3 linked regions of the Canis lupus familiaris genome follow. The main gene of each other region encodes a partner of the protein of the gene in region 3 in a complex. Links are inferred from orthologs where the notes say so. Each region holds a gene or a part of one and is shown on either strand. Other genes may lie near its edges.

Region 1 (4,125 bases), on a different chromosome or scaffold from region 3:
ACACCAGCCCATCCCAAATCAGAGACATTCCCCCAAAACACAAAGCCAAGGCCCCACATCCCACCTGGGAACTGTTGGTCAGTCAGGTTGAACTAGGTGGTGGTGGTGGGGGTGTCCCAGAAGTAGGGCTGGTATCAGCAGCTCTGCCCCTCTCGACCAAGCTCCAGGAAAAACACTCTCATGGCATGTACCACATCTGCCTCTGCCCCCGGTGCCCATCCGCCAGCAGGGCTACCCAGGAGGGCAAGGAGCCAGGATGCGGGTGGGGCAGCAGGCGTGGTTCTGGCTGGAAGGGAAGGCTGGCAATTGCCCAACCTAAGAGTCCCGTTGCCTGGACAGAATTCTTCCCGCTACATGGGACAGGCACCCAGCACTCTGAAGCTGCCCCAGCTGGGCTCCCATCACCTCCCGGTACCTGGATGGGCCAGCCAGGACCCTTACCCAGGCAGCCATGGCAGATTGGCAGTTTCAGGCAGAGGTAGGTCTCTCAGCCCCTTGCTGTATACCCTCTGCAAGGCCTTACTTAGTTCCCATCCCCTACCCCCAACAGGAACCTCCACGGGGCCCCTATTCCCTCCATCCTGGGCCCAGCGCTCTTTGGCCCCAACCCAGGAAGCCCATTCAACAGAAGAAGCAAAGGCCAGAGGGGGAGCAGGATGCTGAGGTGGACTCCTCAGCCTAGAAAATGCTGAGCCAGACCCTGCACCCCTGCTTGCTGCCGGGCCAGTGTGGGAGGGGATGCCAGGCCCAAAACCTGAGCTGAGCTCCAAGGAACAAGACTAGTGGAATGGGGTTGGTGCACAGAGGGCCAGGAGCCCTCTGTGTCACGGCCCTATGGCCCAGTCCCACGTCTCCTCAGCCCATCAGCCCGAGAAGGGGCCAGCCAGAGGCCCCTGGGTGGGCACCAGGGGACAGCGATACCAGAAGGACCCTACCCAGGCCCAGTGGGCAGCGGCAACGGGCCCTCCACCTTGGCGACACCCACTCACTGGTGCTGCCGCACTCGCAGCAAAGACAGGAAGAGGCAAGCGCCCAACGCAAAACAGCCCAGGAGGCTGGGCCGCCGCCCCTTCCCGCCCCTTCTCTTCCTACCCGCAGCGGCGGCGGAACGGATGCCATTTTGAAACCTCTGGGCTGTGCCCCTGAGGCCAGGCCCCCAGGGACAGTCAACAGATGGGCTCAGATGGGAGACACACTGTCCCTCGGCCAGGCCCCCAGCAAGGAGGCTCTGCTGTTCACAGCCCGGGGACCCCACCGCGGCTCTGAGGCTGAGGGGCCACACCCCCCCACAGACACTGTCCAGCCTCCAGAGCTGCTGCGAGGGCACCTCTCCCCCAACCCCAAAGCCCCCGAATCAGGCTGCCACCGGGCACCGCACCTGCTCCCGGCGGGAGGCCGCTTAGGGACAGCTTCCAGGCCCACAGTCTTCGTGAAAGTCCACCTCAGATGCCTCCCAACTCCATCTGGCCCCCAAGTCCTCATCTAGCTGGTCCGCCACTTCCCCCTTACAGGGCCTCAGGATCTGACAGGCCCCCTGACTCCCGGAGGCCAAGTCTTTGGCCTTTCGGCCCAGAAAGGGTGCGGGAAGCCCAGCACCCGTCAACATATCTCCTCGGCCCGCCCGCCGGGGCAGCAATATGTCGGCTGTCTCACCACTTCCACTTCCCCCCACCCCTCAAGCCGCCACCATCTTCCCTGGCCTTGGAGGCGCCGCAACCCAAACTCCTCCATACTCACTCCCTCCTACTCCCCAGACGCCCCCCTCACCGGCCCAGATGGGGCTTAGAAACTGGGAAACGGCCAGCGGGAGGAATCTCCCCGCGAAGCTTGAGGCCCGATTCCCTCCCCCAGCGCAACCAGTGGAGCCTCAGTCCAGCCCCTGAGTCTGGGCCCCCACCACCCCGCCGGGCCCGGCCCAGCCCACCGGTGCAGGAGGGGTGGGGGAATCTGGAAGGCCAAAGTGTGGGGAAAGGACTTAGGGGAGGAGAAGCAGGGGGTTTGAGTAGTACTGTGTGCAGAGAGCGACCTGGTGGGCCAGATGGAGGGAGGAGTATCTAAAGGTTTAGGGGTTCTGGCAGGAGAGAGGGCTCATGGGCAATCACAGTTTCCACTGAAGAAGTACCCTGGAGTCAGGGTGCACAGGTGGAGGATACAGGGTTCAGAGTAGGGATGGGGCAAAGAGCGGGAAGGAGGGAGGTGGGGGCTGGCAGGGGCCCCATGGATATTTATGCCCAATAGGAACAAGGTGAGCAGGTGGGGGAAACAGGTGGTGCCTGAGAGTGGGGGCAAGTGGGGTTCTGGGTTTTTGAGTAAAGTCTAGAGAAGGATGGAAGGACAAGGCAGGGGGACTCTGAGGGTCTGTGAGGTTGGTCAGCAAGGGTCGATGGTCAAGCAGGTTCTGGGTCTGGGGGTTAGGCGTCTGCGAGTTGAGGGTCTGATCTACAGTCTGGGCTTCCGATCAGAGATCTAGGCCAACCCAGAGTTTTGAACCATTATTTGGGTGTCCTGGCCAGGCGGGGTCTGGGAGTTCAAGTCCAGGTATAGGGGGTGAGGTCAGGACTTGAAGGCCCTTAGTCTGGAGGTCAAAGTCCTCGTCTGGGGATTCGGGCGGGGAATCGGGGGTCCCAGAGCAGGGCGCGGCCTCACCCAAAAGCAGCAACTTCACCTCCCGCGCCGCCTTCTCCCCGTCTTCCCGCAGGTTCTTGTCGATCATCTTGGAGCGTTCGGCCGCCGCCTTGTCCTCGGCACTCACGGTGCAGCCCATCCCGCCGTCCGCCGGCCCGGCCGCCGCCCGGCCCCCGCACGGCCCCCGGCCCGGCTCGGCCCCGCCCGACCCACACGGCTCCCGCCGCCGGGCCTCTACGAGTAGCTCTCGGGTCGGCAGTTCCGAGCGTCTGCGGGCGGCGCCTTCCCGGCCGCCGCGCACCGACGGCGGGGCGGGCCGAGGGTGGGGCCGGAGCAGGCCAGGCCCGGGACTGGGCCGGGGCGGGCCCGAAGGCGGGGCCAGGGGAGAACCGGGGCCGCTGATTGGCTCGAGGGCGGAGCGAATGGCAGTTAGGCCCCGCCCAGACCCGGGCCCGGGCTGAAGGCGGAGCCGCGCGGAGGAAGAGGGGCAGGCGCGGAGCCAAGCCCAGAGGGATTGGGCTCGGGGCGAGCTGCGGGCGGGGCTGGGCTCCGATTGGGTGCCGAGCGCTCGGCGCTCCGCGGCCCGACGGCGGGGGCGGGCGGATCTTGTAGCCCGAGGGTGGGGATCCGGGGCACCTCGCTGGCTGGGCAGAAACCAACCCTCGAGCTTAAGCAAGTTGGGCTAGCGGGGTGGAGGAGGCGTGTCTTCGTCCTGTTAAAGTTAATGAACCCAATAAACTTGTTTCGGGATCTTCAGAGCCCCGGAGCCTCTCTAAACTTCGGCTTTCTCTGTCTTAAGGCGGGTTTGACCTCTTCTCTCTCGGTTTGCAGCTTAAAAAATGTCTGCTGCCACTTCTACACCTTTGCCCAGCTGTCTCCCTCAGCCGGGTGCCTCCTCTCCTCACCCAAATCTTTAAATATCCTTCATCGATCTGGGAAGCATCCTCCTGCCTGTAGTCATCCGGGACTCTAGCCTGGGACATGGCAACCAGGCCCAGAGAGAGAGAGGTGGGGGGTGGGGAAAAGAAAGGTCTACCTGATTTCTGGATAGATGAGTGGCGCTGATCCTATGACCTGTCCCCACTGGACAGTGGCTGCACCCCTATGGCTGGGCAAAGGTGGACGGAGGCCAGCAGCGTTTCTAGCAGAACATTGCAGTCTTTCTGATCCTCTTCAGGAAGGGAGCCCTGACCTCTAATGGACTTCCAGTGAAAGGTCTGCCAAGGGTTACAGAGAAATATGTCCTGTGTGGCCCCACTACCATGAGGCGAGGACGCCCCAGCCCAAAGACCAAGAAGGTCTACAAAGCCAGGAAGGGAGCTGGCCACCCACAGCCCCCTGTTCAGCATAAACTCCCTCCTTACCACCGGGCCACACATCTTGTCTCAGCTCCAAATCCTCAGGCCGTCTGCTCTCCCTGGAGGGTCTATGGATCCCTATCTGAATGGCTCCCTTGTTGGGGAGCCATTGGCCTGTAAGTCCTCCAGTGGTTCCTCCAGG
Region 2 (3,928 bases), on a different chromosome or scaffold from region 3:
GGGAGAGAGGAGGAACATGGCACCTGCCCTGAGGACAACAGGGCTGGGCTTAGGGCTCTGGCAAGTTTAGGTTTTATTCTAAATGCAACAGGAAGCATTGGAGGGTTAAAACCTGGGGTGGCACAATTTGATTTATCTTTTAGAAAGCTGACTCTGGGGCACCTGGGTGGCTCAGTCCATTAAGCATCTGCCTTTGGCTAAGGTCATGATCCCAGAGTCTTGGAATAGAGTCCGGCCTCGGTCTCCCTGCTCAGCGGGGAGTCTGCGTCTCTCTCTCCCTCTACCCCTCCCCACTGCTCCCCCCCCCAAATAAATAAATAAGTAAAATATTAAAAAGTGAAAAGGAAAGCTGACTCTGGTTGCGACCCCATCACCATTTTTCACCTGTGTGACTAGATTTGTGGTCAGTGTTAGGCTGGCTAGGAGGAAAGTGCTCAGTCTCAACCCTGGCCCCACCAACTCCCCTCTCCTGCCCCACACTTGACACAAGGTGATCCATTGGAAGCTAGTTTATTTTGATTGGTTTTTCATGGGGCTGGGCGGGGCTGGGAGATAGCTGGGCTTTGAAGCTCTGTCCTAGGGACGTTGGTCCCCTTCCTCAGCACTGCGGCGGCCGAAGTCCATCCATCCGTATGCTGCTTCTTCTTCTTCCATCCACGGTCCCTGCTTCTTGGACAGGTCTGAGGGTCAGAGGAGGAAGAGGATGTGAGGATACGGGAAGGATGGTTAGCTGCCAAACCAAGGCCAGGGCCAACCCTGGCTGGGTGAGGCAAACAGAGGCGGCTGTCCTGGTTCCTACCTGCCACCAGCTGTGGGGGACCCTGGAGCCCTAGCTGCCTTCGGTGGTGAGAGGCTGGGCCCAGTTGGTCCAGCCCATGTGGCTCCAGACCCCTATTTGCTCCTGGACCCGAGGGTGCATCTTGCAGCCGGGAGCGGGGCTTCCAAGAAGCTTCAGAGAAGGTGGCCAGAGCCAGTGCCAAGATCAGTACATACACACACAGTCGCTGCATCTTGTCTGCAAAGGAAAGAGGGGCAGAGCTGAAAGCCGGGCCGTACGGGGCACCCCTGTCCATCCAGGGGCCTGGACCAGATGGACTCTGCTGGCACGTATGCCGCTGTGTGGGGTTGTGGACTGTTCCTCATTTTGCTTCTCCAGTTCCTGCCAGGCACTCCTACTCCCAGGCCTGGCCCCTTCCCTCCTCACCTACCTTAATTACAGCAGCAGCTTCTCTCAGAGGAATTTACAACCTGGAGCAACTTCTGCAAAATTCAAGGCCATGTGAGTGGCTCTGTAGATATTTACGTTTGTAGTTTAAAGTGAGCTTTTATTTATTTTTGTTTTTTAAAAAAGATTTTATTTATTTGACAGAGAGAAAGAGCGAGAGCACACAAACAGGGGGAACAGGAGAGGGAGAAGCAGGCTCCCTACTGAACAGAGAGCCCGATGTGGGACTTGATTCAGGACCCCTGGATCATGACCTAAGCTGAAGGCAGACACTTAACTGACTGAGCCACACAGGTGCCCCTGAAGTGAGCTTTTAAACAGTAACACCAAAGTGCACATTACAGACTGCAGGGTATCTCTTTGGAGGCCACCAGCATATTCACTATCTGGTCGGGTCACACCGTTTCTGTGCCGCCCGAGGAGGGAAACTTAGCTTGCCAATTTTGCTTAACTGAGGAATATCTTGCGATTATAATCAAGCAGTTAAAAATGAAGCTGTTGCCGTTTGCACCTGTGTGTCAGGGTGACCTGAGTTTGGGGAAGCCATAATACAGAGATAAACTGGGTATTCAAATGACTCTAAAATTCCATTCTCTGCATTTGTGTTCTTTCATCCTCATTATATGGATGGGCTTTATCAGAAGCAAAATATAAAAATGTTACCTTCCAGGAACACACTTATATGAATAAAATACTATTTTTATCTGTTTTTCACAGTGAGGTTCTCTGTTAGATTTCCTTTGGGTTCTTGATGCTAAAGATACACGATTGAACGGTCAGTGATCAAAGCCACACAGGCCCATTCTAGCCACATGTATTGTCCAATGTGGTAGCTACTGGCCCCATGTGGCTCTTTACATGTAAATTAATTAATATTAAAATTTTCTCCCCCAGGAGAGCCACCTTTCCAGTGCACCTGTGGCTGGTGGCTACCATATTGGATGGTGCAGATACAGATCCCCTCCTCATGGAAAGTTATTTCAGACAGTGCTGGTCTAAGAAAGAGCTTGAGATGGGATCCAGAAGCCCTGGGTTCTAGTTCCAATCCTGCCAAATAATTTGTGTGACTTTGGACAAGTCACATCTCCTTCAGGGCCTCAGATTTTTCACCCGAGAGATGAGAGAATAGCCTTTGTCCTTCTCACCTTGCAGACCTGGGGTGAGCGTGAAGTAGGAGGGTTGAAGCATCAGGTCAGCTCAAAGGAAAAGGGTTAGGAATGCCAGGGTGGGTTCTAGAGCTGAGACCTAGTATGGCCTCGAGCTAAGAGAAGGGTGGCAGCCCTGGAGACACGGAGGCGTGAGCCTGGTACCTTGATGCAGGGAGTCCTCCCATCAACCCTCTTCCCCGCCTTTATAATCCCCTCCTGGGTTCTCTCACCTGCAGAGCTGGGAGGTGGGCGATGCTGTAGCTGGCCTGGTGTCTTTCCGTTCTCTGCTCTGCTGGGTGCTCCAGCGCTGCCTTATAAAGCTCTCAGGGCCCCTCCCAGACCCCCATGAGGCCAGCCTCCGCTATAGCAAGACAAAAGGGGGTGGGCACAGGTACGTCACCCCTGCCCTACCCCATCATTCAGTCAGTCATCCACATGTGGGAAGGGAAGGGAGTTGACCTTCATGGCAGTGAGGAGTAGGTGCAGGGTTGGAGCAGTTCTTCAGCTGGACATGAGGGCAGGCAGGACCCCAGGGGCTCCCTGGGATCAGGAACAGTGCCCCCCACCCAGTCGTTGGGGTCAGAGTCCTGGGACGCATCAGTCCTCTGACTCTGTCCCATTGGAGGGCAGGTGAGGCAGATGCACCGAGTGACCTTGGATTCAGAGGAAGCATATTTCATCATACATTGATGTTTGAAGAGCAGGGAGTGTGTGGTTGTGGAGTGCTGTATTGATCCCCTGTCCCTTCTGCTGGGCTCTGCAAACAGTGCGTGAGGTAGTTATCAGGGGCAATGGGGCATGGGCTGATGGCCCCATTTTCTCTGCCCGGGGCTGCAGCTGGTTGCCTCTTCACCACCCTTGCCTGGAAATCCCTGAACACTCCCCACTCCTTGTGCCTTAGTGCTGGCTGGGTTTGGCTTGCAGCTCCCCTCCATCACAGGTCTGCCCTTTACCCCCAGCCTCTTGCAACCCCCCTACTCAGGGCTGATTCCTTCAGGCGGCTGTACTTGGAGGCTCCCTCCTTTGGTTTTCAAGGGAGATAGCAATCTGAATAACTCATTCACCACTTTTCAATATAAAAATACATCTTAGGGGCACCTGGGTGGCTCAGTGGTTGAGCATCTGCCTTTGGCTCAGGTCATGATCCTGTGGTCCTGGGATTGAGTCCTGAATTAGGCTCCCCAGAGGGATCCGGCTTCTCCCTCTGCCTATGTCTCTGCCTCTCTCTGTGTTTTCTCATGAATAGATAAATAAAATCCTTAAAAAAAATATGTCTTAAAGTGGTTAGCAAAGAGGCTAAAGGGTTTGCCCAAGATGTGCCAGAGCACCAGACAGTAAGCTTGTTGACTTCTTTGATAAATTGCCACCTTGGCCTGGTTTGGACAGATGTAACTAGTTCTAGGCTGCTTTTGATTTTTCCATGGTTGGCATTAGAGATTTTGCTCTTGTTCATGTGTCATCAGGGCCCCTCCTTGTCTGGGGGAGTTCTGATGCCCCTTGGGTCTGGATAAGGGGCAGTGGTACCCACGCTCACAGCCAGCCTTGCTGAGAATTA
Region 3 (4,251 bases):
TCAATCTCCTGGGCAGCCCGGGTGGCTCAGCGGTTTAGTGCCACCTTTGGCCCAGGGTCTGATCCTGGAGACCTGGGATCAAGTCCCACGTCAGACTCCCTGCATGGAGCCTGCTTCTCCCTCTGCCTGTGTCTCTGCCTCTCTCTCTCTCTCTCTCTCTCTCTCTCTCTCTGTGTCTCTCATGAATAAATAAATAAAATCTTGAAAAAAAATATCAATTTCCTTTGGGGTTCTGCCCCAGGACCTCTTTTCTTTTTATCCTATATAATCTTTGTATGATTTTATCTATTCCCGTGGCTTCCATTAACTCCTGTAGGCAAAGACATTTTAAATCTGTATTTTCAGCTGATACCTCTCCCCTAAGATCCTGACCAGATTCAACAGTTCACTGGTTAACCACACCTGGGCATCTCACCAGCATTTAAACTCAGTGGGTTCCAAGCTGAATTTATAATCTTCTCCTTCAAACTTGTTTCTGTTCCTTTGTTTTCTTCATGATATAGCACCAACATTAATCTATTTGTCCAAGCCAGAGACCTAGATGTCATCCCCTGACCTCTTCCTCCCTCTCCATTTCCAATGAATCACCAAATTCTGTTGATTCCTTCCAGAAGTGCTTCTCAAATCCACCCACTTCTCTCCATCCCCACTGTGAATACCTTAGTCTAAGCCCCCATCATCTTTCACCAGAGTAATATAGTAGCCTTCTAAAGTGTCCCCCCAGCCCCCACTTTCATTTTTTAAAAAGATTTTTATTAATTTATTCATGAGAGACAGAGAAAGAGAGGCAGAGACACAGGCAGAGAGAGGCAGGCTCCATGCAGGGAGTCCGATACAGGATTCGATCCTAGGACTCCAGGATCACGCCCTGGGTTGAAGGCAGGCGATTAACCACTGAGCCACCCAGGCGTCCCAAGCCCCCACCTTTCCTATCTTGTACTCCAGTCCATCCTCTACACTATAGAACTAATCCTGGCTGTACTGTGGAGCCTTTCAGTAGTTGCCATTACCCTCATAATAAAAAATCCACACTCCTGGGGTACCTTGGCAACTCAGTGGGTTAAGTATCTGCTTTCAGTTCAGGTCATGATCCCAGGGTCTTGGGATTGAGCCCCAGGTTGGTAGCACTGGCTCCCTACTCAGAGGGGAGTCTGCTTCTCCCTCTCCCTTTGCTCCTCCCCCTGGCTCGTGCTCATTCTCTCAAATAAATAAATAAAATCTTTAAAAAAAAATCCCCACTCCTTAGCCTGGTCTATGAGGCTCTTCATAAACCCTCTAGACCATAAACTCTGGTCTTCATCCCGAGTGCTCATTTTCCCTCTCTTATACTGTATGTTTCAGGCACTCAGAAACTGACACAGCGAACGAAAGTGCCATAGATTTAAACTTTGGGCACTTAATCATATTGTTCCTCGGCTTAGAATGCTGGTTTTTTATTTATTTTATTTTATTTTATTTTATTTTATTTTATTTTATTTTATGCCATTCCTGCCCCTTCACTTGTTTGGCTTTCCTTCATCTTTTTAATTTTTATTCAGTTACTTCTCAGGAGGCTGACTTCAAGACCGAGCTCCCAGGTTCACCTCGTCTATGAAGTTCTTGGTTTCCATCTCCTTTGGATGCCCACAATTCAGACCCTCTCCTGGGACTTCTCACGTTGTTATTTTCTCACTGGTTTGTCTCCCTTTGCACTTGACTGTGGACAGAAGAGGGTCTAGACTGGGTCTGTTTCATCCCTATGTCCCCAGCACTTGCTCAACTACAACAGCAGGTGTTCAGGAGACATTTAAGGAAAGAAAAGGTTTAGGAAGGGAAAACATATATTGTGAGCTGGGTTATCAACAAAATGCGGCTGTTGGCCCGTGGGAGGAGTGAAAGTCATTTTGGGGACTGAGTAAGTGGAACCACTGGGGGTGGGGAAGAGATGGTGGCACAATGGATAGGAGATGAAGGGCCAAGCCAGGCTGTAAGAAGATGAGACCTAAAGAGAGGCAGGTTGGAGAGGGGCCTTGGAAGGGCCTGGGAGACAGAAGAGAGAGGGGACAGAGTCTTGATTAGAATTCCACCTTGGGAGGCTGGAGGATTTGAGGAGTGAAATGGAGACAGGCAGCTCTAGGGAGCAGCCCCCCATGTCCAGCCTAACTCAGGTTTGAGGCTCTCTTCTGGTGAGGCTGGGGGTTGGGGTGGGGGACACAGGAGATTATAACTGACTTCCCATTTAAGCCTTCCAGAGTGCTCCCTCCCTCCTCCAACCCTCTTCTTTCCCCAGTCTTGCCTTCTTTTCTTTTCTTTCCTTCCCCATTGTGGCTCTGTGAACTGGATTTAAAAGGAAGAGAGACCTGGAGGGAAGAGGAGGTCCTTGCCCCCTGACCGTCTGTGCCTAGAAGGGGGCTCTGTGTTGGGTGCGGCCGGGAGCCCCGGGTGTGAGGGGGCTCCCATCAGGTGGTGTGAAGCTGTGATGGAGTTTTTAATGAGCTGGGGAGGGCACGGGCGGGGGGGTGGGGGGGGGCAGAAGTGTCGGGGGGGCTGTTTGGGGACCGAGGGAGTACTGAGGGGATGGTGTAGGCGTCCGGGGAGGCAGTGGGGGCCTCTACCGGTGTGGGGTGCAGCGAGAAGGAGCTGGCGGAGGGGGTTTAGGGGGGCACCCACCTCGTGTCCCGGCTCCGCGGAGGCGAGGCGGCTCGCAGCTGAGATTGCCCGCACCGCTGCTGTTGAGGAGGGCGCCCCCCGCGCGGCACAGGGAAGCCCCCGGCCCGGCTCCGGACCCCTGCGCGCTCCGGTTCAGCTTTAGCAGCTCCATGGCCCCGGCCCAGCCACCGCCTCCCTCCGCTCGGCCGGGCGGGCTCCCGCTGCGGCTCCACCTGCTCGCGCCGCGGCTCGGGCGGAGGCTCCCGCCCCGCCTGGTCCCCGCCCCCAGCCCTGGCCCCTGCCCCGCCGCTCCTCCTCTGCGCGCCCCGCCTAGGCTCGCCTCCCCGCCGGGCTCGGCCGCCGCGGTCCCGCCAGGTGACTCCCCGCCCCCCTCCCACGCTCGGGACTCGCGCTCCCCGCCCCCCGATGGCCTTCAGGCTCGCCCCCTCCCCGGGCTCCCCGGTTTTCTCCTAGAGATTTCCTTCCCGCCCACTCCCCTTCGCCACCGTCCCTCGGTGGAATTCTTGGGAGTGTGCGTGTGTGTGCGTGTGTGTGCGTGTGTGTGCGTGCGTGTGTGTGTGCGCGCGTGTATGGGCGAGGGTAGCGGTGGGGGTTACGGGTGGATGGAGGGGTGGCGGAGAGGGAGGTGCGGGGGGGGGAGAGGGTAAGAGGAGTTAGGGCGCGGCTGCCGTGGGATCCGGCATTTCCCCCTGGTGGGTCAGGGGACGTGGAGGTGGCACTTAACACGGTGGCATCAGCCGCGGGTTACTGTCCTGTGCCGCAGTGGCCCCAGTGACCGTGACACTATCGCTCTCATAGTTCCCTGAATCTCTTCGCAAGGGGCTGGGGCGGCCCCTGCATCTGCCCCTGCATCTGCCCCCACACCCTCCGCCTCCTATCTTGGGGCGCAACACCCAGGCTCCCAAGGAACCCTCCGCCCCGGGGCAAGGACGCCGGCGGGGCGGGGTGTGTGCGGGGGTGTTGGCGGGCAGCACTTGTCCTCGGGCAATCTTGGCTCGCAAAAAGGCTGCGCGGAGGAAGAGTCTGACTTGGGGGTCAGGGCCGCCTGGGTAGCAGTGAGAACAGCTTAGAATGAACGGGGGAGGGGGGGCGCTGATGGTGGGGCTTGGTTCCAATCCCGGCCCAGCCCTGGGCACAAGAGGAAAGGGGGCGGCTGGCTCTCATGGTCTCCAGGCAGCGCCCACCCTCGCCCACCCTCACCGACACACTGGCCCTCCCTGTTTGCTCCCAGTGCAGGTGGAGCAGCCATGGGGGGGAGGGTCAGGTTCCCAGGAGAGGGGACCGGAAAGGGGCCAGATCCCTGGGATGCAGCGGGAGCAAAGCTTAAGGGGACAAACACAAGCCTGAGGTGGTGGGCTCAGTTCCTCTGGCAGGACCTGCCTCCACTATATTTCAGCCGTGCTGGCCCTCCATTCTTCATTCCAAGGAAACTCCAATATGACCTTGAAATTCCACTCATGGGCTCCCAGCAGTATCTGTTGGAGGTGGGGGCACCGGTCAAAGAGCAGATTAGACTGTGGATGAGGTCTGAGTTTCTGGGGAATTCAGAGAGCCCTATCCAGTCTATATTTTGGAGAGGACCTGTTCCAGCTAGCACGGAGT

What was found. The genes of interacting proteins can lie anywhere in the genome.
Region 1: the proteins of CCKBR (region 3) and GNAI2 are in contact, whole or in part, in a cryo-EM structure (PDB 7F8V), measured with the Homo sapiens proteins. The link is inferred for Canis lupus familiaris from reciprocal best matches to the Homo sapiens genes CCKBR and GNAI2. Residues at the interface, in NP_795344.1 of Homo sapiens: Thr87, Thr89, Arg152, Ala155, Ile156, Pro159, Leu160, Ala162, Arg163, Val164, Thr167, Ser169, Ile241, Gly248, Leu249, Lys328, Val331, Leu335, His394, Arg396; in NP_002061.1 of Homo sapiens: Glu28, Ala31, Arg32, Glu33, Val34, Lys193, Leu195, Thr220, Phe337, Thr341, Asp342, Ile344, Ile345, Asn348, Leu349, Lys350, Asp351, Cys352, Gly353, Leu354, Phe355.
Region 2: the proteins of CCKBR (region 3) and GAST are in contact, whole or in part, in a cryo-EM structure (PDB 7XOW), measured with the Homo sapiens proteins. The link is inferred for Canis lupus familiaris from reciprocal best matches to the Homo sapiens genes CCKBR and GAST. Residues at the interface, in NP_795344.1 of Homo sapiens: Cys107, Pro114, Asn115, Gly118, Thr119, Phe120, Met134, Gly135, Val138, Tyr189, Gln204, Cys205, His207, Leu222, Val349, Tyr350, Ala352, Asn353, Arg356, Pro361, Ala363, His364, Leu367, Ser368, Ile372, His376, Tyr380; in NP_000796.1 of Homo sapiens: Glu85, Ala86, Tyr87, Gly88, Trp89, Met90, Asp91, Phe92.

What each region holds. Positions count from the first base shown.
Region 1 is NC_049241.1:39,499,361-39,503,485, forward strand, and holds the start of GNAI2 (guanine nucleotide-binding protein G(i) subunit alpha-2), read right to left. Parts: upstream 2,801-4,125; 5' UTR 2,765-2,800; coding exon 2,647-2,764; intron 2,640-2,646; exon of another isoform or gene 65-2,639; intron 1-64. UniProt on the Homo sapiens protein: Guanine nucleotide-binding proteins (G proteins) are involved as modulators or transducers in various transmembrane signaling systems.
Region 2 is NC_049230.1:20,957,940-20,961,867, forward strand, and holds GAST (gastrin), read right to left. Parts: upstream 2,801-3,928; 5' UTR 2,604-2,800; intron 1,016-2,603; 5' UTR 1,011-1,015; coding exon 800-1,010; intron 681-799; coding exon 577-680; 3' UTR 495-576; downstream 1-494. UniProt on the Homo sapiens protein: Gastrin stimulates the stomach mucosa to produce and secrete hydrochloric acid and the pancreas to secrete its digestive enzymes. It also stimulates smooth muscle contraction and increases blood circulation and water secretion in the stomach and intestine.
Region 3 is NC_049242.1:30,102,086-30,106,336, reverse strand, and holds the start of CCKBR (gastrin/cholecystokinin type B receptor), read right to left. Parts: upstream 2,801-4,251; coding exon 2,650-2,800; intron 1,697-2,649; exon of another isoform or gene 1,584-1,696; intron 1-1,583. UniProt on the Homo sapiens protein: Receptor for gastrin and cholecystokinin. The CCK-B receptors occur throughout the central nervous system where they modulate anxiety, analgesia, arousal, and neuroleptic activity.